Nothobranchius furzeri: one gene and its partners. The protein of the gene in region 4 interacts with the protein of the main gene of each other region in a pairwise test. Links are inferred from orthologs where the notes say so. Each region holds a gene or a part of one and is shown on either strand. Other genes may lie near its edges. The genes, in order: rabac1, hspb7, setbp1, plekhf2, cAMP-dependent protein kinase type I-alpha regulatory subunit, frmd8 and ube2z.

Region 1 (4,396 bases), about 7.2 Mb from region 4:
GCACTTCCAACGTTTCAGCACAGAACGCATAATTTACAAATGAATTTCTAAAATGTGCTTTTCGTGACCTTTCCCACCAGAATGTCTGAACCAGAGCTGATCAAATAAATAAAAAGAGAAGCCACATAATGTTCAAAACTAATTAAAAAACTAAATGGCACTTGACCTTCGGACATGCGTCGATACCAGCAGTTTGGATGGTGCCGTCAGAATTTACTTTGCAGGATGCCCACAGCTAGGAATTCAGCGCAGATGCTCCGCTAAAGAGCAAGAGGCTTCATGGCACAAACCAGAGGCATCGCAGGCTTAATATATGCAGATAAAGGCGAATAATGTGCTTCAAGCAATAAGAAATTCATTATTTATGCATTTGTGTAACAACAGTTATTTATCATGCAACATAAGGTGCATTCGTAATACAATGCCATAAGGTAAACATGAGGAAGAAGGATATATGTATAGATATAAAAAAATCTTCAAGGAGATTCTCAAAGGGTCAAAACGAGGACTGATCATGGAGCAGCTCTTTAGACCGGCTCCATGAGGAGCTCATCCAGGTCCGACGCCTCCAACTCTCGGAACGCAGCATGAGAGCCGATCACAAACAGAGTTGCTCCTGACAGGAAACCACACAGAACAGGAAAAATGGATGTAAAAAGAAACGATTTTAGTTCTTAATCAAGATGAAACATCAGAAAAAGATTACGAGGAAAGAACAAATCATGTTCAGCTTACCGAGAACCCAAAACACAGCGGCTCCGGCTCCTGCCAACCAGAAAACGGGCAGAGAAACGGCTCCAGCCAGACTCATCTGGTGTGGGACTGTCAGTTCTCTGCCTGATAAACAAGAAATATGAAGAAAAATATTAAAAATAGGGTTTGTGGTGCTAAATGCAGCGTGGGTTAAATCCAGAACAGGCATGGATGACATATTTAAAAGGTTTCACACAGAATAAAAAAAAATAGACCTTGAATGTTAAAAAAAAAAAAAAACTAAATCTGGTAAATTTGAAAAGATTATGGATTTGTAGGAAATGTACTCACCGAGAACAACCAGTTTGGACTCCAGAGACTTAAGGTGGATGGCGTAGAAGGCACCAGCATACACGGCTAAGGCAATCAGCAGCATGGGCGAGCTGATACTGAGGAGCAGGAAAAATGAACAGGGCTGTCAGGCTGGAGCTATTTAAAGCAGACTGTCGACATTTTTCTAGAAGCCAGAGTCTCACAGATGATCTAATTAACATTTTTTGTTTTAATGAAGCTCTCTTTGATTAGGTCTTACATGCAGTAGAGGATGAGCCCCAGAAATATGAAGGTATAGTTGCTGTTGTAAACTTCCACATTTTTAACCACCCTCTGACACAACTCTCCAAAGTTGCGAGGTTTTGAAAATTTGCGCTGGTCTACAAAGCTGGCCCACGGTCGGATGGACAACCTGCGCCTGTCGAACCACTCCTTAGCCATGCTGGCCGAGATGCCTTTAGGAAGCCAGAGCCTATAAAAATAAACAAAATAGAATATCATCAACACACCAAAGCCAGGGTAAAAATATGAAAGCATGGTGGTTCACACCTTGAGAGGACTCCGATGCCCCCTGTGCCGGTTGGATGGGCCTCATCTGGGATGAACAAATCTCCAGCTTTGCTGTCCATGTCCACCATGACGTTCTCCCCTTTAGGCACTCCAGATAACATTTAGAGACTGTTGACTGAAACAGAATCACATTGAATGTGGACTAAACTTTTACAAAAACAATTAGCCTGGATTTACTCATTTTTATTTGATGCAACGGTGTAGCATCTTATTTAGACTTTGGTTGCGTTTCCACTCATTTTCTGGTAGATGTATTATTATTATTATTTTTTGCCTATGAAGCCCCTTATTTCTAGTCTATAAATCCTTCAGGCATAAAACATTTCTGAAACTGGTGTAGTGTAGTGTAGTGGACATTTAAATCCTATTTTTTAAATTAGAATCGATGACAAAATACCAAAGATTAAACAATTTGAGAAATTAAAAAAAGGTACTTTAGCACACACACACACACACACACACACACACACACACACACACACACACACACACACACACACAAAACGGATTCCAAAAGATATATTGACTGAAAACTTGACATATGGTCGTTTCTATAACTGCACCATTTTCATTGACCTTCAGATCTACTGTAGACACATGTTTTAACCCCAACACTTCTTATTTTATCTTTCATATTCCTCGTGTTCCCAGTAAACCTCCCTGGTTCTTAAGCTGTTTTGAAAGCAATAATCGCAAATGTCAATGGAGCTAACTTTTGATTTTTCGTATTTTAAAACGCCACATTTGACACGTCATAATCTAAAACGGTCTCAAGTGTATAAACAATCACTGTCTAATGATTACATGTCTTTCTAGTTTAATGGCGATCCTTAGTTAGAGAAACAGGAAGAAGTAGAAACAGGGCCCGGCCAGTGCCACATCACTAAATAAACAGGATAACCGAGAAACTCTCGTTACCAAACAACAGTGTCTAGAAGTAGCAATTTCAAATATAAATATTATACTCACGACGAGTCTATTTAAAACCTGAATGTAAATGTAAAATGCTAGCTTATGAGCTAATGTTTACGTCTACTTCCGGATTTTATTTAACGTCAACGTAATTTTCACTTGTTTTTAAAATAAGAATTTAAATTACAACATACCTGCCAAAATGCTAAACCCTTAAATCATTCACCAAAATGTAGGCAGAAGTTTCACCAGACAGCCTGAGCTGTCTTTTGTTGCTGTTCTGGATCTCGGAAGTGATGTGGCTGCTGGAGAAGAAGAAAAAACTTCCTACTTCGCTGACTCTAGGCAGGGCCACCTACTGGCTACATAGAGTACTTCGAATTTTGTGTTACACAACACAGGTGGAACTTTTCATTTGTATTACTTTTTATTTTATTTATTTATTTTTTTGCATTATTTTTACTTCATCCAAAAAACGGAGTTTTTTCTCTTAACAGCCGAAAACACATCTGTTGAAAAAGCCGACCTGAGATCGGCTGCCTGTTTTCTGCGGTGGCTGCTCAAAACCACACAAGCACGAAAAACTGACTGCAGATCAGAAATGGTAAAAACGTGACCTTACGTCATGTAACAAACAAAGAGGCTGTGATTGGTAGATAGACGAGTGTTGTGGTGCTGCCGTCACTGGGCACGCGGCACTGTGGAAGTTGCTAGATCCGCCAGCGAAAGAAAGGAAACAAACATTAGAAGGTGAGGCGCTATTAATTATCTTATCAAATTTAGCTGTTGGAATGTTTTTACGTGTTGTTAAATGTAATCTTCAGACCTTGGGGTTTATGACAGTTCTGTTTTTGTTAGTCATTAATAAAGTAACGTTTCAATGCTAAAACAAAATGTACGCGTTTTTTTTTACAAATGCACTAAAGGGGGACACAGCGCCATAGCAGCATATTAGCCTACGCTGGCTCCGTTAGCTTTAGCTTATTCGGCTCTTTAGCTTACTCAGCTCAACAGCTGTCCTGGCTGGGTGTTTAATGACCGTTTTTTTCTCCACAGAAACCGTGACAGGATACATAAACTCGTATAAAGCGTAAAACCGTAACACAAGAGGAACGAGTCGTTTCAGGAGCCTCCAGCTGCTTTCATACACATTTTGCCTGAAGATAAAAACGACACCGCTGACTGGTTCGTGTGTGTGGAGAGCGTCAAGCTGAAACGGTAAAAGGCAGGAATGTTCAGCTCCACACACACTGAGCTCACGTACATTAACATTTTATATCCTGACTCCCGAGGAAAATACATTTCTATGTCATATTTTTTCAAAATCTCACATATATATTATAACTTAGTCGACTATAAGTATAAATAATGTCAGAAAATATGGTGTAAATAGTTGCATTTTCCCCAAAAAAGCTAATTATATTTTATATTTTTGTTTAATTTCCAATAACAATCAGTATTAATAGATTATTTAAAAAAATGCTCAACAAAATAGGGTAAATAACAGCAAATAAACCAAACTGGAGAACGTTTATTCAAACAATTGATAATTGTGTTAAAATATTGCTAAATTACTAAATTAGGTTAACATCCCCCAAAACTTCCTAACTTCCTAATATCTCCCAAAATAGCTTGAAAATGAGTTTTCTTCTTTTCTTTTTTTTTTTTTTTTTTGACAAAAGTTGCTTTTAAGAACCTCGTTTTCCTTAAATAGTAAGTGGAAGTCCTTCAAGCCCTTTCTCTAAAGATTTATGAGTTGTATCTGGAGTATGCATGAGGTCGGAGATTTTTCCAAAAGACAGGAAAAAGAATGCACAATTCTACAATTCAAGTTTGTGCCAAATAAAGTTATTTTAGTTTTCTTGTTGAAAACTACAATATGCTGTTT
Region 2 (3,483 bases), on a different chromosome or scaffold from region 4:
AAAAACACGTTAATAGTTTTTGAAGCAAATAACCCCTCAAATTTATATTTATAAAATTCTCAATTTTTAAAAGAATGATAGGATTCTTCACAATTGTTTCTTCTCACAAAAGACTGAGGTTTACAGACAGGACAATAGAATACAACTTCAGTTTCATATTGATTCAGAGAATTGCATGCCTTGTGCTTTTACTGGTCACAACAGATTTTATTGCAGATTTCTTTTGCTTTTCTTTATTGAAAGTCGGGATTTAAATTACATGTTTCGTAAACAATAACAAGTTGTGTTCAGCTTGAAACCTTTTGTGTAGAGTTCTTTAATTTTCCCACAAAGACTATAAACTCCAAGTACTTATTTTTTTCTAAATACACAAACATTTCTCTGTCCCACCAGTGATCAAACATTGGAGAAATTAAACTCTGTATTTGACCCATCCCCGTGGGGAGCGATGAGCTGCAGCTGTGGCTGCGCTCGGGAACTATTTGGTGGTTTAACCCCCCAATGCAACCCCTTAAAATTGAGTGTCAGGGAGGCATTGGGTCCCATTGAAAGTCTTTGGTGTGACCCGACCGGGATTTGAACTCAGTTTCAGGGCAGACACTCCACCACTAGGCCACTGACATGTCAACAATCATACTCTGAATCTTATAGAAAAATAGAACTACCTACATTCACAGGTTAAATTACCACAAAGTTTTTGTACTACAATAGTAAATGGAAGAAAAAGGGAAATGAAAGGTTCAGTTGTGTTTTAATGCAGATTTATTAACATTATACATTAAATAATTCATGACACTTAATATTAAATGTGAGTAAAACTGCCTTACAGAACCGACTGAGATATGTAAGTGTGACCTTTACTATATAATTAAACTAGCTTTGTTGCCATCATGAAATGTGGATTAGCAGTGGCTGAAGTGGAGAGACATCATAAAAATGACAGAAATGAGGGGTTAAATCCCCAATAAGTGATGTGTGAGAAAGTCTGTCTCTGTCTAGATTTTGATCTCTGTGCGGTAGGTCTGTACAAGCTCGTGCTTGGCCGGTTGTCTTCGTGCCTGGACCGTTAGAGTCCCCTCAGCACCCAGGGATGATGTCACTGAGGTGGGGTCCACATCCTCGGGTAGTTGGCACTTATGGGTGAAAGTGTTCATCACTGAACCGTCCGGGGCCAACTTGAACAGAAAGAACAATGCAGATGACTGAATGTTGTTGTTCTTAACTGTTCGTCTACCTCTAAATTTCATGTTAACATTCCAAATCAAAAGAAATGCTGCCCACCGTTTCCGCACGGACTTCTATCTGGTTGTTGGATGTGGTGACGATGACATCCTCAGGGGAAAAGCCTTGCACATCAACGGTAAACTGGTATGAATCATCGAGGGTTTTGATGTTCCCGGCTCCACCTGAAACCACCAAAAGAAGTGATATGGTGAGATCACAGAAGACCAAAGCTGCTCTGTTTCTATTCTTATCTCCCACCAAAAAGTCAAAGTGGGGGATGGTTTCATCCCTCTCTCTCTGACATTTACCACAGATAAACTGATAAAGCTGACCTCAGACAGCACCAAAACATTTATAACTCAGACAGCTTTACAGATATTAAGCTAAAATTTGGTGTTGAAGGAGCCGAGTCATCCCTGTATTCTTACACATTATCTGTTGGGGACAACCAAGCTTGACTTTTAGAAAAATATTTGGTGGGGTCAAATAAAGTCATGGTCTTTGGTTGGAAAAGGGTACAATGCCTCTCTCAAGGTCCTGCCTCAAGTGAAGGAATTTAAGTATCTCAGGGTCTTATTCACAAAGGAGGGAAAGATGGAGTGGTACCGGTCTGTCATAGTGAAGAGAAAGCTGAGTTAAAAGGCAAAGCTGTGGATTTAGGGTTCTTCTGCATCCCAACCTTCACATCACGAACTTTGAAGTAATGAGATCGTGGATACAAACTGCTGTAATGAGTTTTCTCCGCAGGGAGTCTGGGCGCTCCCTTGCCATTCCCATCTGTACCTGGTCGGCCCGGCCCGGATAGCTTGCCTGCCTTTTATTTGATAGGCTTATCAGTCAGCAAATTCACACCTTCCATTAGAACAAGCCTCTGATTGGTGGGTAGAATCAGCCCACATGGGCTTAAGGCATGCTCAATTCATTATCATTCATTATCATGCTGATTACCTAGAAGCTGAAAATGTCTCTGACTGCATTCCTTGCATACATGGACGTAATTTTCACTTTAGAAGTGGAGGGGAGGGGGGGGGGGGTATCTTTACAGTATGCTCTAATGGGAAACAGGCTTCAACACAAATGGTTGTTTTCTGCTTGGTCCTAGAGCTCAACCAGTGTCAATTTAATATAGTGTAATATTGTTTTTGGATGGTAAAAAGTGCAGGGGTCAAAACTTGACTTTGGAAAAAGTGGGGGGGACATGTCCCCCCTGTCCCTCCCAAAATTACGTCCATGCTTGCATACCTAAGCAAGGATGTGTGGAATCAACCGGGCTAGGCAGGGGCCGACTGGAGCTATCCAGGCAGGGCCGACCAGGTACAGATGGGAATGGCCCATTAGAGATAGGGTAAGAAGCTCAATCATCAGTGAGGGGCTTGGAGTAGATCTGCTGCTTCTCCACATCAAGAGGAGCCAGCCGAGGTGGCTCGGGCATCTGATTAAGATTCCTACCGGATACCTCCCTGGTGAAGTTTTCTAGGAATGTTCAACTTTAAGAAGATCTATGGGAAGACCCAGAACACTCTGGAGGGATTATATTTCCCAGTAGGGATGCACATACTGGTATCGGTATCTGTACCGATACCAGTATCGGTATCGATAAAAGTTAACCGATACCAGGAACAGATACCAATGCAGTTGCTTGAAAGTGGCTTCACTGTAACTTGTCATTTCTGTTCACCTAATATTTTAGTTTTGTGATGATTTCTATTAATGTATTTTACTTTTTATCTACAGTCTTTTCCTGTTGAAAGCAGAGAAGAAAATAAAACCTGTATTCCAATTCATAGCATTTTTTTGTGTGGTAGAAATATCAGCATCGGTAATCGGTATCAGCGAGTACTCAGATTGGTTTGGAAAAAAGTGGTATTGTTGCATCCCTATTTCTCGGCTGACCTGGGAACACCTTAGGATTCCCACGGACGAGATCACGACTGATCTAGTCTTGTAATTAGTACATCTTTTCCTCATGTTCAGTCACTTCCCCGTGCATTGCTAATCCCAGATTTTTCTTGCAACATTTGTCAATTTCTTGTGTTGTCATGTTGTCCTCTGTTGTTGTTCAAAATGAAACAAATATGTTTTCATCAACAGTAAATTTCTTTTTTGTGTCTTTATTTAGGTCATCAAATTGTCCTTGGTTGGAAAAAGAAGCTTGCTTAAAAGCGTGGATTGACCAGTAAAAAAAAAAACACGTTTCTCCATAAAAACTCTAAATTATCCTTTTACTTGCTCACGGAAAAGCTTCAGTTCTGAGAAATA
Region 3 (3,848 bases), on a different chromosome or scaffold from region 4:
GGAGCTGAGGGTGACTTCAGAGCCAGAGAGCCATTCTGACTAGATCCAGAGAGAATCTCGTTTAAGATGCTTTGCATTTTCCCGAGCTTTGTCTTATTTATTGACCTAGGATGGCCTCTGCCTCGCGTTAGCTTCAGGCTGTTAGAACAGTCGCTGGATGTTGGGGAGGCCATTTGAACTAACGTGTTTAGACCATGTGTCTTTCTCCTGCGGCTTAGCCCTGTAGAGGTGTCCTGTGACAGTGGGCTTGGGGGTGAGGTGGAGGTGCCCTCGTGAATGGTCTCCACGGTTAGGAGTGGCTGTTTCTTTGGACGCCCTCGTTTCCTCTTGATGGGAGCGTGGACCGTTAGACTGTCACTATTGGTGTAGAGTGGGCTAGACGGGGTAATTGGGAAAGCAGAAGGTGGCTCTGATAAGGCCAGAGGACTTCCCAGTTTGTCTCTTTGAGGTGATGTCAGACTGGTATGACTTTTAACTTTCAGGTAGGACCATCTGTCGTTGACCTTTGCTGGTTTAAGTTTGGCTTCAGAGACAATATTGTTTTTAGGGCTGGGACTCAGGTCAACCCTGCCTCTAGGACTTGGACTTGGACTAATGTTGGTCCTGGGTTTAGGACTGGGGATGGGACTGATGCTACCTCTATAGCTGGGGCTAGGGAGTCTGAGATTGGAGCTAAGATTAAGCTTGTTGATATGATTGTATGCAGGCTCTCTGAGTTTAAGGGTATCTGTACCACTCTTGGGACGACCCACTGGATTCTTTTTCACTCCTTTTAAACTCTGATCTGACTCCTGGTCAGGCCCACTTGTAACAGCTTCTCCTCTTTCTGCCTTTTCGGCCCTCTCTGCTTTATCCCTCTTATCACCTTTATCTCCTCTCTCTGCCTTTTCGATCCTTTCAGTGCTGCTGTCCGCCTGACTTTTAAGACGAGAGTCAGTCTTGTGAGTCTCTACCTTATGTGCTACTTTGGGTTCCGGGGCTCCGGTCTGAAGCTTCTGGGTAGCTTCCAGAATCTGAAGCTGTGGTTGCTCCTCCAAAGAAAACGACTCGTCAAACGAAGGCCTCCTCCGTCTCTTCCTTCCTTTACCATCCTCTGTGATCAGGGGCATACCTCTCTCTTCTTCATCTCCTCTCCTTCCAGCGTTTGTTTGCTCTCTTTCCTCTCTTCTCCGCTCTTCTCTTTCTGAGTGAAACTGTTCAGATAGCTCCTCTTGGTTGTACTTCTGCCTGTCTTCTGAATTACCTGGACTCTCTGATCCTCTCTCTGGATGCTTTCCCCAATGTGCATCAGTACCGTGGGGATTACAGAGCACCTTCTGAGAATCCTTCCTGCCATACTTCCTCTTGATATTCCCAAAGAGCTGTTCGCTTACTTCTTGCAAGCCCTTACCCCTAGAGATATGCATAAGCAGAGAAATTAAGCAAAATAAATAAGAAAGGATGCATTGTAACTTACTGATGGAGTTCTTATTTTTGTGTTATTAAAAAAAATATAGCCATACCTGCTGAGCGATGTCAGGTTGAGAATACTGGCATCTGTGACCACTGGCAGCTGCAATTCTGGAGTCATGGATCTCTGAGGTGAGGGGGTCTGTGTTGCTGTCCGTTGATAAGGTTGTGTCGGATCAAGCAGAGTACTTCTGCTTGCTCCTAGCAAACCTCCTGCTGCGTTAGATTCCCCCGAATGGACAGAGGATGAAAAAGGTGCCACAGATGTAATCCACTCCGGAACAACTTGGTGTTGTTGTGCATTAACATGCTGGAACTTTTGCGTGAGGCTGTGCTGTGATTGTGGCATGTTTGAGATAGCATTTGTAGGAGGGAGGGTGCTGCGAAGCTGATGTTTAGGCAGAGTGTGATCCCCCAGAAGCTGTAGAAGGCCCCCTTCTTTCTGCTCTGGCATTCTGAACTGACGCTCGTACGTCTGAAACACAGGAGGGAAACAGACGAGTTTACTACAGAAAAACTGTGACTGTGTGGCAGCTTTAAATACTTGCAATGATAGACCAATTATGTGATAATGTAATCAGAAATATATATATATACATATATATATATATATATATATATATATATATATATACATACATACATACATACATATATATATATATAGGGATGTGTATTGGTGAAATTCTGGCAATACAATATGCATCACGATACAGGGCAGACGATACAATATATCACAATATATTGCGATACATTCAGCCAGACAATAGAAGCGATTTTTTTAGACTAAATCTATTGTAGAAAATTTCAATAAACTGTCCAAACTGATACTTAACATGTTTATCGTGATGTATCTGAACCATAATAAAGAGATTTACATTTCAATAGTGGAAACAAAACTCCCACTGCACACTGCTGCCAACTAGAAGTCGGCGTTTGAATTGCACCAAAGGAAATGAAAATACACAAATGTTTGCATGTAAATTCTGCCCAAAAGTCGATACACGGCTTTTGAATATTGATATAATATTGCAGGAAACAATATCACGATATACTGCCATATCGATATTTTCTTACATCCCTATATATATATATATATATATATATATATATATATATATATATATATATATATATATATATATATATATATGTGTATATGTATATATATATATATATATATATATATATATATATATATATATATATATATATGTATATATATATATATATATATATATATATATATATATATATATATATGTATATACATATACATATAAATATATATATATGAGTTAGGAGTAGCCTTTCAGTAAATCAGTAAATTGTTGTGCTTTAGGATGCCCTCCATCTCTTTTCACTGCACAACTTAAGGTTTTAATACATCTTTTGAGCATGGATGAACAATGTGCAACAAAACAAAGGGCTTGTTTGCAGAGCAATTAAATTCCTGTGGCAAGGATGTTGCATGCTGTGCGATCAGTGGAGGGTAGATCTGGGGACGTCTGGAAAAAACACGATATTATTCACAGTAGCCTAACGCAGCCACATCTCTGCCCCAGATCTGTGATTATTTATGTATTGTCTTTATTTTTCATGACTACCAGCCTTGTAAATATCATTTGTTTTGCCTAAAAATGCAAAACAAATTATATGTTTTCCTTTTACTTATAAAAAGATTTATATCTTCCCCCTCATAGCCGTATATGCAAAACTCTCAATAAACTGTACTAAACTAGAAGAGCCCACTTAATGTATCACTGCTGCATAATCAGAGTACTGCTGGAAGATGAGAAATAGAGCAGCGGATGGCCTCTGTGGTTTAGCCTCTTATTAACAGACTCAGTATGCCGCAACAAGACACTGTTCTGCTGCACAGCAGGGAGATGTAACCTAACCACAGGCTTGCCTCTTATGCCTCTCATGGTCATGTACACACAGGCGTACAAGTGCACACGCACACACTTGATGTACACATTTTACAGGCTTCACAAAATTCTAGTGTTATGTACGAGTGAAGCTGCTGCACATTTACAGACTCGTGCACAAACAACCCAACTGTTGCAAAGCTCTCAGGTCTGGTGTAGACATTTACATGCCCGCTGTCTTTCACGTTGCTAATGTGTTGCTCTGCCTACATCACTTTTCTGTCACTTCTGTCTTTTCTGCAGTCAGTAATCACTCAGCGAGTTGTTTTCACACTTCCCTGAAACAGTTAATAAGCCAGATGCAAACTCACAAAGCAAAAAATAAATTAAAAAACACACACAAACGCCAAGGAGCACAGGACTCGTGTGGATCGAAATGAAAAAAAGAGAAAAGAAACAGAAACAGGCCCAAGCAAACACTGAGCAGTGTAAATGATTAACAAAGCCAGAAAACACACACATGCACTC
Region 4 (4,313 bases):
ACAAACTCTTCGCCTGGCCCTTATTTCCAGCCACCGTACCCATAACTTTCCTAACCTTGAAATGCCGGTGGCGGCGCTTCGTCAACAAAAAAGGTAGAGGCATTTCCTCCGTTTCCAGCTCTGTCTCCGTTTTGCTTATTTTCTGACATGCAGACAGGGGGCTGCCATCTTGGAATCATGTGATCAGAGAAGGCGCTTCGATTGGCCACTAGAATAGTTCAGCTCAGCCGGCAGCTCAGTAGTGCGCACACGGTGAGTTTCTACCCCCCGTGAGGCGGAAAATATCTGAATGGTCAGATATTCGTCTCAGCTTCTTGTGAGGTGGAAAACTCAGTGAAAATCAGGTGCACACGGCGAGCAATCTGCTGAGCCAACGGTCATTCGAGGCCGTTTGCTCTGCAGATTGCTCTCGTGTGCGGCAGGCTTAAGATTCCTGAGAATGTTTTAAACATAACTGTGGGCATTCCTACCTCATTACGCAAATGAAGAGGATCACATTTAAAACTGTGTCATTTAAAATGCAACACATTGCAACAGAGGCTATGCTAGCTGTAGAGTAACATGCCACATCCTGAAAGACCACTGCCTTCATTTGTAAAGCTAGAATGCAAACAAACATTAAAAATACAGCCTGAAAATAAATTGGCTTTAATACAAGCATTGAAGTTTTAAAGTTTGAGTACATTTATTGATGTTTTTTTTGTCTGTTTGTTTTTTTGCATCTTCTGCTTGAACTCCTCTTTGGTGGTGGGGGTCTTGACTACTACTGGTAACAAAAATCACTGATTTCATTTTACTATTTATATATAATTTAGCAGAAATTACAGCGGCATGTTATTAATGCTTGCTGTTACCAAAGGTGCAATATGTAAGGATGAAGTAAGAATGACATTCTGTCACCAGATTTAGGCACTGCAACCCATTTTTAGAAACAAAAAGCAACTCTCACTAGAAAAACTGTCATCTATTTTAAAAGCTTGTTTTCCCCAGAAAATCTTGTTAATTTTTTTTATTATCTAATCATTTGTTACCATGTAAAAAAAAAGTTGAATAAAAAAAAAAGAAAATCTCAACTAGGGAAGAAAATGAAATGGATTTCATAGGGCTCTAATTTTACTACTTTAGATCCTTAAAAAATAGAAAGTTAAGCTTGTCCCCCTCTGACACTGGTGCGGGTGTAAATATTTTGCAATGTTGTGTTTTCATCTATGACTGAACGACAGCTTGTCTCACCTGGTTTCATAATAATCTTTGCAATAATGTGAAGTCACAGAAACTTAAAAAAGAAACTGAATTTGAAAGAGAAGTAGAAAATTCTATAAGAAAATATATAAATAAGAAAAATGCTACAATTTTTAATAGACACATACTTTAAAGAAATGCAAACTTAGAAAAATTAAGGGGAAAATACAAAAACAAATGAACTATTTCAATCTAAAACAATGTTGTGTGCAATAGATATCAAATAAGTTTTATTTTTATTTTATTTTTTTACATTTTATGTTTAATGTTTCACTCTTCTTTGAGACAGTGTTAATGATTTAAATAGTATTGCTCTAACCTAAAATGTGTGTTGCTGTAAACAGATAATAAACTCAATACCACGGGGACAGAATATGTGTAAATAAATGTTGCTTTATTATGCCCTCAGTCATCTGAAGCTAATGGAGATTTTATGCACTTAGACACAATGAAGACATATCAAACTTCCCTTTTTTGTGGTAGAAAACTCGAGTACACACGTCCACAACTGTGTTGCGATAAGGTGGACTCCCAACTGCCCGAATAGTTCAGTTTCCATTTGTTACCATTAGCCAAGACACATTGAAGTTAGTAGTTTCTGCCCAAGTATTTCCACCTAAACTGTTCAAGTGTTTCCAGTCTGTCCAGCACTTCCACCAATTATTGAACGTAATTATTCCACAAACAAGTTAAAGTCTTATTATCAATGCCTCACGTCTCAAAGTTCAATTTACTTTTCAACTTTTTGTCCAAGTTGGCAAAAGAAAGTGGTGCCCGTTGGCAGACTTAGCTAGCTAGCTCAGACGTTAGCTTCCAAGCACTTCATACATTTTACTTTAAAGCTAATCTTCACTCTTTTTTGTTCGGTTTTGAGTGAAAAAGCGGTTCCCAGTTTCGATAATCGATAAACATTTAGGAGAAAGGAAAAGAAAAGCACCCACACAACGCGGGCTTTTACAGGCTATTAACATGAATGAGGAAAAAGTAGCTGAAACCCACGGAACCAGCTTTAGCCAAAGAGTTAAAGTATCATCAGTCAACTTATAAACCCAAAGAACTACATACCCGACGGTAGCACTCACTGTGAAATAGCTTCTGCAATAGATCTAAAGTTCTGCTGTATTCCAGGTGATATCGGTAAAGTAGTAAGTCTGCCTCGAGAACTGACCACTGTGTCCGCAGACACCGACAGCAGCTGGAAACTCCGTGGATAAAACAACAACATGGCAGCGTTAAGAAGATGCGTTCAAGGGCAATCTAATGGCTGGTAAATCCGAAGTGAAGCTGTCTGTTCTGAGAAGCAAATCATTGCTGTACTTTTATTTGGGAAGTCATATTTTTGACCTATTTCGAAAGAAAAATAATCTTTTCCTTCTTCCAAGTCGTGTAGTGAAGTAGTTCGTTTTTTTGATTATTCCAAGGGACAGTGAAGGCATCATGAGCAAGAACAGAAGCCAAGTTTTTGGGAGGAGACCTGCCTGGGGTTCAAAATAGTAAACAAGATGGTACATGTTGTGGCTTTGTAGGAAAAATGCACTGACACCTTAACAAAAAAATGAAGAAAATAAAGCACAACGGTTTCCATAGTGTCCACAAACAACAGGAATGGGAATAAACTCCCCATAATTTACTTTCCCCCTCTTAATGCCTGTGGCAGCAAAAACTCTACCCTTAAGCTAGGACGCTGCTCATCTGCATCCAAACATTCAAAATTCATTTAATTCAAACTTTTAGGGAAACACTACTAGATTTTGGCTTTCCCCTTTAAAAACTGAAAACATTTGCACTCATTAGTTGTTTAGCACCCAACTCTAGTTCATAACACATGCTGTTGTTTTAACCCCATCATTTTAAATTCCTGGATTTAAATCTCAGTTTTTATCAGCAGAGATGGTCTGCAAGTATCAAATTCATCAATACAATACACAACATAAGTTGAACATACATTGCATTATTATTTTTTATTTATTTTATACTTTTACAGGCCAAATCTGCTTCTGGATTCATTAGTTTTTGGGAACTATTTTAAAGCGTGTAGAGCACATTTACAGTTGGATCATTCACCACAAACTAGATCTGAGTCTGTTTGCTTCCTAAAACTGGAAGACGGTGCTCTTATCAGTTCATCCAAACACCCAAAGAGAGTCAATGTGATTATTCACTTGCATCATCAAAGCTCTTAAATCTGCACCGAGACACCGGAGGAGATTAGATTATGCCACGATGCTTAGAGCAACACTAATCGTGTATTAGAAAACCACTGTGACCTTACAGGGTTGGTCAAATATCCCAACACTTCAAATGAATGAGTCCGAGAATATTTCCACACTGCTGGAATGTCAGAGAGTTTGGTGAAGGGTGATAACAATTTATTTAATTACCCAAAGGAGAAAAAAGGAAGTCATTCACTCTCTAAACCAAATATACATGCTCTGTTTTGGTTTGGTTTTACACCACAACAACTCCTTTGTTTAATATTTCTTTCATCACAAGTAAAATTCTATTTCTTTGACCTAACGCTGCTTTTCTTCTATGTTGGGTTCATCCAAATGTACCACACACCAAACGGATTACTTGTTGTGGAACATTAGCTAAAATTAGAATATCCCAATTTTTGGAAGTGATTATTTGCTCCAAAGTTTATTATAAACCTGTTTGTCATTTTATACATCACCTTGCACTGTTTTCCATTTCCCCTCTGCTAAAAAGCTGTTTCCATCATTTACAACCACCCTCTACTGATGACTAAACATGTGGCCTTTGGTTCACCTCCGGTTAACTGAAAAATGCCTCATGGAGGAGTGCAAATCTCCTCTTTATGTAAAAACTAAGTAAATTCACCTGCATGTTGCTGGTATCAAATAAAAAATACCAATATTTTTATTTAAATACTTATTTCTATGCAATTAAACTTTTATTTAAAATAAGAAACTAGTTAGTGTTGGCTTCAGCTGATGTGTACACTTTTCATTCTGACCTTTTTTAAAGGTTTCTAGCAATTTATTTAAATTTTTTTCCAGATTTACTTAATGACAGGTTGAGCCTTGAAACAACCAACTCTCTCCGTGTGA
Region 5 (3,848 bases), on a different chromosome or scaffold from region 4:
TATTTTCCGATATTACCCTTTAAAGCAAAAATCATCTGATAATATCAGCAGACCGATGATATTGGACATCCACAGAAGCAAGACAAGCTAACAGATGCCACAACAGAGGGAAGCTACATGCTAATTAGCATCATGGAGGATGAAGTCTGAGGAGCTCTAATGTTCCCCTGTGCTACACTGGGAGGTGGACTTGCTGCTTATGAATTAACTTTTTGCATTTTGAGCGTGCAGTATCCTTTAGACGTAAAACCTTTTTATAAAATGTCCTAGACAGCATTAGTCATCGTTCGCCAAAAGGAAGTAGGTTTCTCTGCTCCTACTTCTTATAAAAACATTGGAAACATGAGAAATATCATGTGATGATACATTTAAAAATTGTAATTAATCACAAATAAAACGTTTTAATGCACCGACAGCCATGAGTATATTGGGTTGTGCATGAACCTCTAAGATTATGAAGAACTCGTCTCCTGGCTCTCCCTGCACAACGATCTTCTGTCCATCCTCAAACTGGACGGGTTCTAAGGCATCGGCCACCGTCAGGCGCTCCCACTTATCAAGAGACTCTGAGGAGGGAGAACACAGATGTTGATCTGATAGACCATGATAACACAAAAGGCTGAGCCCGCTCTGATTATGTCTAGATATATTTTTACATACACCTTCATGTTATTTTAAACTCCAGATCTAACACCAATAACTCCACTCCGTGTTTATTTTTAAACTTCTACACAGCAGCTGATGAGAACTAAACACACCCACCTAGAATGGACACTTTCCTGAGGAACTCCTCGTACATCTTTCTCTTTCTCAAAGTGCTTCCCTGAAAGAAAGAGGGTGGGTGTTACTCCAACTCCGTGAGATGATCCACAGAGTCGACGAGAAGTTCCCTCACCATCAGTATTCTCCTGTAGCTGTCTCTGTCGATGCCCCACAGCTTCACATTGGTCTTGGCTCTAACGGTGGCTGCCCTCGGGGTGCCGTAGATCAGTGCCAGCTCTCCAAAGCTGCCCCCCTCGCCGATGCTGGTCACCCATTCGTTGTTCACGTACACCTGTGGAATCAGACAGGTACGAACCATGCCTCAGAAAAGGATCAACAAAGGTCTTTATGTTAGAAAACCAAGTAAAGATGCTCACATCCATTTCTCCTTGGTCGATGACGTAGAAGTTGTCACCCTCATCACCTGAACACATAGAACAATACATTTAGTATCGCACTGGTCATAATATCGTCAATATTTTAGATAACACATGAAACATGTGCTCCTACCCTGCTGAATGACAGTTTCCCCGGCAATATAAGTGACTGGAAACATTGCATCAAATATGTCGCTGGGGATAAAACACACCAGTGAGTTGATCCGATGAACACAAATAACTTAAAATCCACGTTTCACTTGAAAAAGCTTCAAATAAACACGATCTATGGCCCGGTACCTTCTCTCGTTGTCATCCAGGTGTGAGAACAGCACATTCTTTTCAATGGCTTTAGCCAAAGCAGCCATCGTTTTGTAGTCTTTTGGAATGACCTGTAATTATAGAATTAAAGAAAGAGATTTTACTATCAGATATCATCAGAATCACTACAATACGGTTCGCACACTGGAGTGATTAAACTACCTTTCTGACATACGAGGCTGCATCTTCCTCTGTGTACACCTCTGCACTGAAGGCTCCTCTTCGTCGGCGACCCTTTACCACGGGGTTCATGGGTGGAGACACCTCCTCATCGCGAGAGTCTGAGCGGGAACTGCTGGCTTTCTGCTGGCTCTGGATCTGCTTGGCCTCCTCCTGCAGGAGTCAAAGAGAAGACTAGTGTTCCAGGATGCAGCCCCATCAGCCACCGATGTGGAATAAACCTCCAAGGGTTCAGATGTCACTCAAACATCATTTCTAAATATGTTTATGTATTTAGCAGCTGCTTTGGTTCATAGCAACTTACAAGTGATAATGAAGCCAGCAGGCTGCCCTTGAGGCTAACAACAAAACACTAATCAGTCACCCGTGGTGGCAGAGAGGCAGCATAATGAATCATAAAGGGAAGTGAACAAGGAGTGAACTGTAGAGTGGGGGATGGGTGCAGGGTGGGTCCTAGTCTAGAAGATGCTCTCTGAAGAGCTGGAGTTTCTTGAAAGTTGACAAGGAAGCCCCTGTTCTAGTCGTGCATGGTATGTCCTTCCACACCTGCGGAACGACACATGAAAAGAGTCTGGATTGTCCTGAGTGTGTAGGCTCTGCTAGCCGACGATGATCCTCTGATGACCAAAGTGGCCGAGCCATGAGGTAAGCCTTTTCAGGTTAATGGGAGCCGTACCATCCAAAAAATACAAAAACCCGTATGCATGCACATCTGTAGGAGAAAAAAACGAATAGAAGAGCTGTGGTTTACTGATTTTAGAGTTAGGACATTTTCTGTTAAACCTAACATTTACAGCCATTTCTGTTTTGTATTGATGACATCACAAATACTACACCAGATCATTTATTTAGTGATGTCCCGATTCAACTTTTTCACTTCTGATCAAGTGACATTACTCAATCGGAGAACAAAAGCCAATAACAGTAAGTATGGAAAAATGGGAAAAACTATTGGTTGCTAAAATGTGAACCTTAACGGACCGCTTATATCGGAGATTTTTGTTGCCGTCCGATATAATTCACAATACAATGTTTTTGGGTCAATATTGAATTACTTTCGATATCAGAACGGGACATCCCTAAATTTATTCAAAATAAAAATGTTAAATGGGTTGAACTGACAATTTGATTTTATATGGTTGTATATTTTTTATTAGTTTAAGTAAAAATCTGTTTGTTTGTTTTTTTTTGGAGAGCACCATCTAGAGCAGGGATTCCCAAAGTGTGGTGCGGGTGCGCGAGCTGCCGCTAGGGGGTGCGCGAGGTGAAAAGTGTAATGGCTGCGGAGCTCAGAGAAGTCTGTCATATGTCACCATTATTGTAGAAACTCATTTGTGGGTGGGCCAAAGAAAAAGTAAGTGGGCCCAATAAATGTAATTGAAAACAAGTATATTTTTGCGCGCGTGTCCTCCACATGTGCCCTAGCTTCATAATAACAATGCACCGAGCTTCAGCACTCTGGCCTGCGCACGCCGATATGTTCCGTATTTGATCATTTTTAACGGTGTTGGAGGAATCTGAAGGTGGTGAGTCATTCTGGCAGATTGTAATTAACACCCTGTCTCATGCAGGTGTTCTGACATTGTAAACCTCACACACAGAACATTGTGGATGTAACAAAATAACAAGAAATGATTCCCATTCAGGCTATTAACAGCGCGCTGAAGATCTGAAGTTCAGAGTGCGTCTGTCAGAGATCAGACGCGTTCCAGTCACGGCTCACGGGTGCACATGTGAGCACATCTGGGCTGGGCAGAAGTTTTAATAGCGACAATAACGAGACGCGGTGACTTGAGCGGCTGTGCCACGCGTGCGTGCGCGCACACACACACACAGATTCAATAAGCGCGCACGCTGCTTTAACTCCGGCGCGCCGTCAGACTGAAGGCAGAAATGAACGCTGCCTCCACCACGATAAAAACTTTTAAGAGGTTATTTTTCATTCAAGGTCAAATTAAGATATTAGCTTCTGGGATGAGTCGGGTCCGCTACAGCCAGTGACTCCTCATGAACCTGACCACAACTCCTGTTACTGCAGCATGTGTTATTCCAGTCAGCGTGGCAGCGGATCACAGATTCAGCCACACCATAAAACAGCAATAAGTCGGTCTGAGGTAAAAGTGAACATCATGGCTATATCTTGTCCCCTATTGACATTTGATTACGCACAAGCAGGTGATCAGCTCAGGTTTACGCAGAACAGAAGGA
Region 6 (4,513 bases), on a different chromosome or scaffold from region 4:
TTTATCATAGAGTTTATTCCTGGTCTCTTACCTTATGGTGGTAGTGACTTGTTGGTCGTCTAGACTCGTTCCCTCTTCAAGAGCTAAAGTAAGGGCTCCAAGGGCCATCCAGTGCTCAGGGTCACAGGGATAGCGACCTGAGAGGATGTTGCTCTTGGCCTCCTCCTGCAGAAGTCTCAACACTCCTTCGTCATCGATCTGCTCAGACAACGATCAGGAAGTTTGCAAAAGAAAAAGTGAGTTTTATTTAATAAATCTAGGCCATTAGAACCTTTTTTTTCCTAAATATGTTTTGCTGAATGAAACGTACCTGCGTCTCTTTTGCTTTTGGATAAAGCACGTTGCGTCTGTACTGCAGATACGGCTCATCTGAGGAAAACAAAGAAAGCCGTCAGAGTTTGATCATCTAACTAGATATCTAAACAAGAGATTCAGCCTCCAGCCCACTCTCCTCAGGCTGAAATCCCCAGACCGTGGGTGGGATTTACTTCACGAGTACATCAGGTCACACAACTAAGTGACTCTATACTTTTAGCGTTGAGCTGTCATCGTGTCCTTTGACTAGAGAGGTCACCTTCCTCACAGAGGACGTGTGTGAGCTGGTCCAGCCTGAGTGGGGAAACCAAAACCTCTCAGAAACAAAAGTCCACCAGGATGTGTCATCATTACTAATAAACATCTGACTTCTTCTGGAAGGATTCGTTCTGTCCTCTGACTGACAACGAGCTCATTGGTCAGCATCGTTTCTGGCTTCCCATTGGCCAGGAGATGTTTGGCAGGATCATCTCCCTCAAATTCAAGACAACAGGTAATATATCACCGTGATTTACATTTCTTATGTACTGTGTACAGCGCCTTGGGCTCCCTGACAGGGTCGTGGAAGGCGCTTTACAAATCAAGCTTTGATTGATATATGCAAGAGCAGGTTTTAGGTTTTATTTTATAGTATTAGAGTCCTTTTGAGAGCAAGTTAAACACATTTAAGGAGCTTTTTCAGAGTAAAAAAAAAGAGTTTGGAGAGAAAGCAGGACAAGATCTGAGCCTAAACACAACAATCAGTGCTCCCAAATTTACGCTCCTGCTTAAAAGCAGAATATTAATCCCATAATGCATGCATTAGATGGATTAAAACAAAATAAAAGTAAATAGCATAAAATTAAAGTTTAGCATTAAGCTTATGTAGCACTGACAGTTTATAGTGATACAAATAAAATCCACTGAATAATCGAGAAACAGTCCCGAGATTTTGCACAGCAGTGAGACAGCAGAATATTGGAGTCTTTTATAAATATAGTTCGAGTTACAAGCGATGTAGACCTGAGTGAGAGAATTACCTGCAACTCTGTGTTTGACATGCCTGAGTACAATCGCAAATCACAGAGCAGTATCATGCACAGCATCTAAATTATAGGAGTCACTCTGAGTCATCTCAGCCACAATTACTTCCTAGAATGACTCAGTCATAGGAAAAACACAGAAGCATCCCATACAAACCAGCAGGACGAGAACTTTTGTGCTGCGAGACAACGAGGCTTATGTTCTCACCTTGTGAGATGTCCTCCTCTGATGCATCAGTGAAGCGATACAGCAAGTCCTGCCACTGCCTACATAACTTGTAAGGCTGATGCCTCATCTTTAGCTGCAGCTCTGCAGAACAAAGAAGGAAGCATAAAGTTTAGCGGCTTCCACTGAAGGTATGCATGTTCTCATACTTAGATAACGTAACAAATGTAACAAAAATAAGAAGTTCTTGCCGAGCAGAGGGGAACAAAGCCAAAAGGCAAAAGCATCCTGCACAGACTCAGGAATCTGCAGAGCCTCACGAACACTGTGGCCCAAGTCCTGCACGGATACGCTACCAAGCCCTTCTAGTGATAAGTGAACTGCACTGTCACCGTACAAATACACAAGCACATCTTGAGCTGTGGGAACAAAGACCAGTTAGTCAATCAACACTTGAGAATACATTTAAAACTCTTTAATAGAAATGTGCTACCATTGCAGAGAAAATAAAGAAATGTAACAGTTAAGGCGTTAATTTGGTGTTCATAAACACGTTGCACCATTACCACGAGAAAGCGTAGCAGAGGAAGCAACACTTCCCCTTTGAGAGTGATTATCCGACAAATCTGGAGGAAAGTTGCAGTCGTCGCCCTCCATCTCTTATCTGAAACACAAAATCCAAATAGATCCATCAGAATGGGTGAGAGGGTTTTATGTAGCATTGATGCATTCTACACATTTTAATACCTCAGCATGAGGTCGTACATGACTGTAAACTTTATTCTGACAGCATGATGTGTTTATGTGAGCAGCATATAACTTTAAATAAAGATCTGACTTATAGCAGCAGAACTACACATGCTACCTAATCCTTGTCTGACATGTTAGTGATGTGGCTAACTCGGTCCCGACTGGGAGCCAGCGCCACCAAGTGAATTTTAACTGGAGATACTCCTAAACTAACCCATTGTTGGTCTGATGTGGAGTAAGATTTTAGCCCCAACGACTGTTATTTAAAACATTTTAAAAACGAGTCACCGTTTTGCAGACACCGCCACCTCACAGCAGGTTAGTTTATCAGGAGGACTGTCATTGTCCCCATATGCAGAGTGACAGCACAACAACAGGGAAATATTCCCGGAAATGACCATCATCGTGTCTAAATCTAATCCTGTAAAATGGTCTGAGCCACAATACAACAAATTGGACTACTCTACATATCTGACCGCAAAAACACAGACTTATTGACAGTAAATTGTCACTCCTATGAAACAAATTTGATCACCTATCTAGCCCATTAGCTAACTTGTTTTTTAAAAAACTAAACACATCTGGTATTCACTCACCTGTAAGTAGTTCTCCCCTCGATGCTTTTACTCTGGATAGGATATTCTAATTTTGTAAATACTACTGGGTACATTAATCAATCAACGTTTTGCTCCAGAGGTTTTATTTTCTGGCTGCGGCTAGCCCGCTGCCTGAAAACTAGCTTTCCAGCAGCTAATGTGTGATGACTGAACGAGTCGGATATTTTGAACCGTTCTTCTTCGGTAGGATGAACAATACATCTGGGGAGTTCACAACCTCAAGAATCCATGGGTTTTTAATGGAAAAAAATCATATAAACTATTACAACGACGGATAGTGTAAATTTTACGTTGAGTAATACCCTTAAATTAGTCTAAAGGACTGACTATGTGAATCGAGAACCAAATGATTGAATCCCTAAAATGAGCCTAACTTCCCAAGGCGCTCCGTGGTCTCATCACGTGACATAACGTCAGCAAACTGATTGTTGTGTTTATCTTCCGCAGGTATTCGCTGATTCGACGAGAATTGACGGCACATACAACAGGTTAACGTACATAATAAAATAAAATAAAATAAAATAAAATAAAATAAAATAAAATAAAATAAAATAAAATAAAATAAAATAAAATAAAATTTAAACAAAACTAAACAAAATGAAATAAAATGTGTAGGCCTGTATTATTTAATGTTACTGAGATTGATTTATCCAGAGTAATTGTTTGAATGCTGTAAACTATTGTTTTCCTCTTTTCTTCTTATTCTGCTTCCGTACACTTTTTGAACCTCTTCTTCTCCTTCAAATTTTGAGCTATTTCAACAATTTTATATCAAAACGTTCAGCTCGTTAAGCTCTTTCCGGCTATTACTTTTGGCATTGATATCTTTAAAATTTTTCGAGTTATTAAGCTTTTTCTGCGAAAATTTTCCCATTGAAATGAATGGGATTGGTCAATTTTCAGCAAATTCCTATCACTTTTTTGACCTAAAACTCTATTGGGTTCCTTTTAACTTAGAGACTTCATTCAAAGTTTAACAAACTCATAAGACTTTCCTGTTTAACATATTAAAGAGGCATTTTTGAATATCTTTTACGGTTTTTGTAAAATCGCAGGTAGAAGTTGAAGTACGACTTGAAATTTTCAGAAAAATTCACAAAAGTTATAATGGGGAAAGATAGGAGCAGTGACCCTCCCTTGCTCCATTTCTGGCGTTGTCCCGAGAAAACCGTAGGTCAGATTGAAATGAGACACATGCTGGCTTACATCTAACGAATATACCTTCGTTTTGAGCTATAATTCATGTACTGTACTCCAAACATTGTGGTCGTACGGTTCATTTGTTTGAGAAAATTCAAATTAAAAAAATGTCTCTCCCCACTCTAAACTGAAAGTTCCGCACTCTAACTTTTGAACTTCACATCTTCTGTGAACAACTCTTTACTACCCCCAGACCGTTTGGACTACCAAAACAAATTATAACTCAAAAATTAGGAATTTATGTCAGCTTTTCAGAATGGGTTTCATTTTTTCTGTAACTGTTACAGTTCTTTCGCTACAAGCCTCAGAAGGAGGAGAGACCCAGATTCTGCCTCATTGAAACCCATGTTAAAGGAACAGAGATTTTCTCCTCTGATCGGCTTCAGGCAGCTAAAAGTTTCTCGTCATAGCTTCAAGACAATTCACGGTAGGCACATAAAAAT
Region 7 (4,618 bases), on a different chromosome or scaffold from region 4:
TAAGACTCACAACGACTCAGACTTGAGTGCCAATGACTTGCGACTTGAATCGACTTGCATTTGTTCACTTGATGACTTGAGCATATTTGACATTTTAGCACAAAAGTGGCACAACATGGACAAAAATCCTAAATCATTCTCCGTTCTGGGTTTGATGTTGTACCTCTAAATGCAGCAGCACTTTGTTTATAATTCAGTTGCACGTTCTGCTTGTTTGAGCAAATAAATGAAGCTTTAAGAAGTTTTATTTCTAGAATGTATTTATTATGATTGTCATTAAATTGAAGTTGGACAGATGACGTGATTATGACTTGAAACTTCAAAGTTAAGGACTTGGACTTGACTTGGACTTCCACATCATTGACTTTGGACTCTACTTCGACTTGGACTTGACTGAAAAGACTTGTGACTTACTTGTGACTTGCAAAGCAGTGACTTGGTCACACCTCTCCTGGAAGCTAAAGATGAGTATATTAGAGCATCCTGGTGCAATAAGCTAAACTTTTATGAACGACCCGATTAGTCGACTAATCGCCAGTTTTGTTGGCGATTAGTCGACTAATCGTCAACAAAACTGGCGATTAGTCGGTTATTAAAATAGTTGTTTGTGGCAATCCTAAAGATGTCGCAGCAAGAAGAGACGGAGAAAAATGAAAATACCAAAAATAAAACGGCCAGGGCTGCACATAAAATATATTTTCTACAATTTTTTAAATATTTTTTAATAATTATCTATATTGATGAATATAAAAACATTTTTAACGAACTGCGCTGCTCTGGGCGGCTGCATGTTGGAGTAGCTCTGTTGACTGTATGTAAATTTTGCCTTTTCTTGGGCATTTTTTCTTCTAGTTTCTCAAGAAAATCTGTATTTGTTTTGACATTTTACTTTTCCGTTTCTGGTGCTGTGAAGCTTGGAGGATTTTTACTGCTATTTTTTAGGTTTTCTCAATTTTTGAGCATTTTTTATGATGCGTAACCATGGCAACAAGCTGGTTTACAATCAGGAACAACTGATTAACATTGGAAAGGCTGAAATAATACCTCAACTGAAGCCACAAATCCCAAATGAGCTAAAACGCAAGAAGCGTGGGTGCAGAGCGGGAGCTAAACAGAGACGGAGAAAGAGGAAATTCAAACAGTCTCTTCCATCGATCATAATGGGCAATGTGAGATCACTGCCCAACAAGATGGAGGAACTCCAAGCCCTTTCAAGGACTCAGCCAGAGTTTCGGCAGTTTCGGAACCGCTGGAGGAGATAATGCAAAGAAGGATTCTCCAGAGAATCAAGAAAATGATGGACAACCCTGAGCTTTCTCTTCACAAGACTGTCCGACAATGAAAGAGTGTCTTCAGTCAGAGGCTTCTTCAGTTTGGCTGCAACACTGACCGCTACTGGAGATCCTTCCTGCCAACAGCCATTGTAATATACAACAACTCTTTGATGACTTGATTATTATTATTATTCTGAGCTACTACAGCAATCAATTTCCCTCTGGGATTAATAAAGTAGTTTTGAATTTGAATTTGAATATTTTTCTATATCGTCCAGCCCTACACTAGCGTTTTTTTATTATTGCAGAAGGCATTCTGCTTTCATTTCTGTTGTGATCCAATGACAGGTGTGTCGGTGCTACGCGTTTCCTTACCTTTTACAATTTTATTTATAGTCATATTGTAACCTATGCAATCTTTTAGCACAGGGGAGATCCATGATCCCATCAGCAACACATTTTAGTCACTAATAAACCAGGTTTCCTTGTGAGTGACGTCAGAATCAGGTTCTATTTCCTGGTTTTACTTCTTTGGTTAAACACTTTCGGTTTTCCCCAGCATGAAATGACTTTTGGGTCCTTAAACACAGTCACCAAAATGATTTCTTTATTTTGGCAAAGGCAAACTCTACAGAAAATATTCTTATTAAGCTAATAATCGTTTTGCAGACCTCAGTGACGGTTAGTAGGAAAGCCTTGGAGCTGAATTAAAGGCAAGGTAGCTTATAGCACATTTCAAACAAAGGGCAATTCAATATGCTTTACAATTAGCATGAAATGTCACAACAACAACAAACATGAGAACCCAAATAAATTTATAATTTAGAGCTAAAAGGAAAAGACAGAATTAAGGTTGAGTAATCAGAGATTAGACAGCGGAGACGATGCAGCACAAGAAACAATTCATTCAAAGGCTAATGAGTATCTTATATAGAAAAAACACACATGATAGAAAGGATCCAGAAATAATTTAAGGCTTGATTAAAAACAGAATTTACCTCTTTATCCTCAAGATGCACTGCTGGGAAGCCTTTTCGTTGTCCCAGTCTGTGCTGAGGGTCGGATCCCAGGAAGTGGCGTGGATCTGGGACAAGAGGCCCCCTCCTGCCACCCCTAGCCCCACGGTGGGCAGAGAGGAGGACGCGTGCACAATCGGAGACACTGCCATAAAAGGTGGTGATGACCCCGTAATAAAGGTGTTTCCAAAGCCGACAGCAGACGCGACAGGAGCCAAAGCAGTTAGGCCACTCTGTGCGGTGGTGGCGGGTGGAGGAGAGGCCGAGTTGGCGCTGGCGTTTACACCGCTTGCTGCTGAGTGTCCCTCGGGAAGAGAGTTGGCCAAAGTCGGCAGAGGAAAGGTTCCACTGCCTTGTTCGGTGACGCCTAAACCAAAGGCACCACTGCCACACTCCTCTCCAAAGCTATCCGCCATGGCTCACGAGCTAGCAAGCTAGTGTAAATCCGCTGCTGCCTACCTTGCAACGCTAGGTGTTAGCCTCATTGGTAATAGAGTCTGAAGTGACCTCCGAGTGTTTCATTTCTCATTGTGATCAGAGAACACGCAGGCAGGTAGGAGGCATGGCAGGGCTTCCCGCGGATGATGGCTACGTATTATTTGCTAAACTGTATTTATTCCTCCCGGGCCTCCAGAGAGTTCCGTGTTTAGCAGAGCCGCAGCACCCACCTGGTTACAGACATGAACACCAAAGGTGTTGTTAACTCGTTGGTTATCTGAGGAAACAGGATGTTAAATGGCTATCAACTCAATACATAAGCGCCGTTCGAGCAACATACCACAACTTCAAGGGTTTTTTCCTCATGTCAAGTTTGTTGTTACGGTAACGACGTAACATCCGGTCAGGACTTCAAAGTAAACGTCCAATTTAAGCGCTTTACTTCATGTTAGACCTACAGGTGAACCTCGAAAAACGAGAATCTGGAGCAAAAATGCATCAGTGTCAGTAATACAACCTAAAAGGTGAAACGATGACACAGATTCGTTCCACGCAAATCCAGATGTTTCAGCCTTTATTTCTTATAACTGTGATGATTACAGCTGAAAACCCTGAATATCAGACTGTGATCATACGTGATTACGCAAAGCATTATGGGATGTGTGCGGACATGTTGGAAGCTTGACAAGTGTAAACAAAGCGTGAAACAAACAGTACTGTCGCAGAGAAGAAGTGGATTTGGGTGAAAGAAAGTGTTAAACAACATTATAAAATCCCTAAAGGATGCGGAATAAACAGGGATATGTTATAGAAATATGTCGGGGACCGGAATGTGGACAAAATCAGACTTATAAATGGTTTGGATCCATATGATAAACCTAAGACTGGAGCACCAATGACATATTTTTTATCGCTGCAGTTCTGCATAACGAACATTTTCGGCTATCTTGTTTGTGGTGTGATGTAAATGTCCAGATGAGAGGTAAACATTTTATTTGCAGGATTTTCTAGTAAAACAATCAAAATTGTTATCCTATAGAAGAAGTGTAGCAGGAGAAGTTGTGTTGTGTGTCAGCGCGCCCGCATTAGCTTACCGGTATGCGAGTGCAGCCTCTGTGTGTGTGTGTGTGTGTGTGTGTGTCCGTGCGTGCGTGTGTGTGTGTGTGTGTGTGTGTGTGTGTGTGTGTGTGTGTGTGTGTGTGTGTGTGTAGACAAATAAAAACTTGAATGTATGTGGACATTTTAGCATAACCAGATAACAGAGTGAATGAGTCTTTGAAATATAATGCTTAATGTTTTATATAATCATGTGATTGTCCCATATATGCTGGATTGCACTGAAATTTGTGGATTACATATAAACATACACTAATCCATTTATGATTTTACAAAAAATTAGCAATCATTAGTCTAAGTAGTCAGAGCTCCAACCAATGCATTATTGGCTGTGGTACAAATATTAAAATTGGGCGATCTGGCTGATTATAGGACTCTACAATTGGTCTATAAAGCTCATATGAAATCAACTATCTAAGCCAGTGGTTCCCAAACTTATTTAGCCGCGCACCCCCTTCTATGTCCCGACCATGTCGACGCCCCCCCCCCCCCCCCCAGCCCCCACATGTCTCTCTCTCTCTCTCTCTCTCTCTCTCTCTCTCTCTCTCTCTCTCTCTCTCTCTCTCTCTCTCTATCTATATCTATATCTATATATATATATATATATATATATATATATATATATAGATATATATCAGATGTCAAGCTAAACAGACAGGGTTAAAAAATACCCCATCACTTTCATTTTTTAAATAGTAATTAATAAACATTCGATACCATTACAATTTCCTTTGATTTCATTTTAAATAAATATTTAGAGTGCCCAGGTAGCAC

The links.
Region 1: the proteins of plekhf2 (region 4) and rabac1 interact in binary tests that used the Homo sapiens proteins (3 or more experiments, as listed by UniProt). The two-hybrid records come from large-scale screens. The link is inferred for Nothobranchius furzeri from reciprocal best matches to the Homo sapiens genes PLEKHF2 and RABAC1.
Region 2: the proteins of plekhf2 (region 4) and hspb7 interact in binary tests that used the Homo sapiens proteins (3 or more experiments, as listed by UniProt). The two-hybrid records come from large-scale screens. The link is inferred for Nothobranchius furzeri from reciprocal best matches to the Homo sapiens genes PLEKHF2 and HSPB7.
Region 3: the proteins of plekhf2 (region 4) and setbp1 interact in binary tests that used the Homo sapiens proteins (3 or more experiments, as listed by UniProt). The two-hybrid records come from large-scale screens. The link is inferred for Nothobranchius furzeri from reciprocal best matches to the Homo sapiens genes PLEKHF2 and SETBP1.
Region 5: the proteins of plekhf2 (region 4) and cAMP-dependent protein kinase type I-alpha regulatory subunit interact in binary tests that used the Homo sapiens proteins (3 or more experiments, as listed by UniProt). The two-hybrid records come from large-scale screens. The link is inferred for Nothobranchius furzeri from reciprocal best matches to the Homo sapiens genes PLEKHF2 and PRKAR1A.
Region 6: the proteins of plekhf2 (region 4) and frmd8 interact in binary tests that used the Homo sapiens proteins (3 or more experiments, as listed by UniProt). The two-hybrid records come from large-scale screens. The link is inferred for Nothobranchius furzeri from reciprocal best matches to the Homo sapiens genes PLEKHF2 and FRMD8.
Region 7: the proteins of plekhf2 (region 4) and ube2z interact in binary tests that used the Homo sapiens proteins (3 or more experiments, as listed by UniProt). The two-hybrid records come from large-scale screens. The link is inferred for Nothobranchius furzeri from reciprocal best matches to the Homo sapiens genes PLEKHF2 and UBE2Z.

The regions. Positions count from the first base shown.
Region 1 is NC_091745.1:74,795,233-74,799,628, forward strand, and holds the start of rabac1 (prenylated Rab acceptor protein 1), read right to left. Parts: upstream 2,838-4,396; 5' UTR 2,703-2,837; intron 1,712-2,702; 5' UTR 1,698-1,711; coding exon 1,576-1,697; intron 1,499-1,575; coding exon 1,286-1,498; intron 1,143-1,285; coding exon 1,045-1,142; intron 838-1,044; coding exon 736-837; intron 617-735; coding exon 528-616; 3' UTR 1-527. UniProt on the Homo sapiens protein: General Rab protein regulator required for vesicle formation from the Golgi complex. May control vesicle docking and fusion by mediating the action of Rab GTPases to the SNARE complexes.
Region 2 is NC_091755.1:36,028,557-36,032,039, reverse strand, and holds the end of hspb7 (heat shock protein beta-7), read right to left. Parts: intron 1,407-3,483; coding exon 1,282-1,406; intron 1,176-1,281; coding exon 996-1,175; 3' UTR 745-995; downstream 1-744.
Region 3 is NC_091757.1:44,685,001-44,688,848, reverse strand, and holds part of setbp1 (SET-binding protein), read right to left. Parts: intron 1,925-3,848; coding exon 1,503-1,924; intron 1,393-1,502; coding exon 1-1,392.
Region 4 is NC_091745.1:67,586,944-67,591,256, forward strand, and holds the start of plekhf2 (pleckstrin homology domain-containing family F member 2), read right to left. Parts: upstream 2,971-4,313; 5' UTR 2,325-2,970; exon of another isoform or gene 2,308-2,324; intron 1-2,307. UniProt on the Homo sapiens protein: May play a role in early endosome fusion upstream of RAB5, hence regulating receptor trafficking and fluid-phase transport. Enhances cellular sensitivity to TNF-induced apoptosis.
Region 5 is NC_091756.1:28,744,801-28,748,648, forward strand, and holds part of cAMP-dependent protein kinase type I-alpha regulatory subunit, read right to left. Parts: intron 1,794-3,848; coding exon 1,623-1,793; intron 1,532-1,622; coding exon 1,440-1,531; intron 1,335-1,439; coding exon 1,273-1,334; intron 1,187-1,272; coding exon 1,140-1,186; intron 1,055-1,139; coding exon 896-1,054; intron 824-895; coding exon 763-823; intron 567-762; coding exon 445-566; intron 1-444. UniProt on the Homo sapiens protein: Regulatory subunit of the cAMP-dependent protein kinases involved in cAMP signaling in cells.
Region 6 is NC_091750.1:53,401,084-53,405,596, reverse strand, and holds the start of frmd8 (FERM domain-containing protein 8), read right to left. Parts: upstream 2,990-4,513; 5' UTR 2,850-2,989; intron 2,168-2,849; 5' UTR 2,161-2,167; coding exon 2,070-2,160; intron 1,923-2,069; coding exon 1,755-1,922; intron 1,648-1,754; coding exon 1,546-1,647; intron 370-1,545; coding exon 311-369; intron 199-310; coding exon 32-198; intron 1-31. UniProt on the Homo sapiens protein: Promotes the cell surface stability of iRhom1/RHBDF1 and iRhom2/RHBDF2 and prevents their degradation via the endolysosomal pathway. By acting on iRhoms, involved in ADAM17-mediated shedding of TNF, amphiregulin/AREG, HBEGF and TGFA from the cell surface.
Region 7 is NC_091758.1:15,254,414-15,259,031, reverse strand, and holds the start of ube2z (ubiquitin-conjugating enzyme E2 Z), read right to left. Parts: upstream 2,935-4,618; 5' UTR 2,707-2,934; coding exon 2,273-2,706; intron 1-2,272. UniProt on the Homo sapiens protein: Catalyzes the covalent attachment of ubiquitin to other proteins. Specific substrate for UBA6, not charged with ubiquitin by UBE1. May be involved in apoptosis regulation.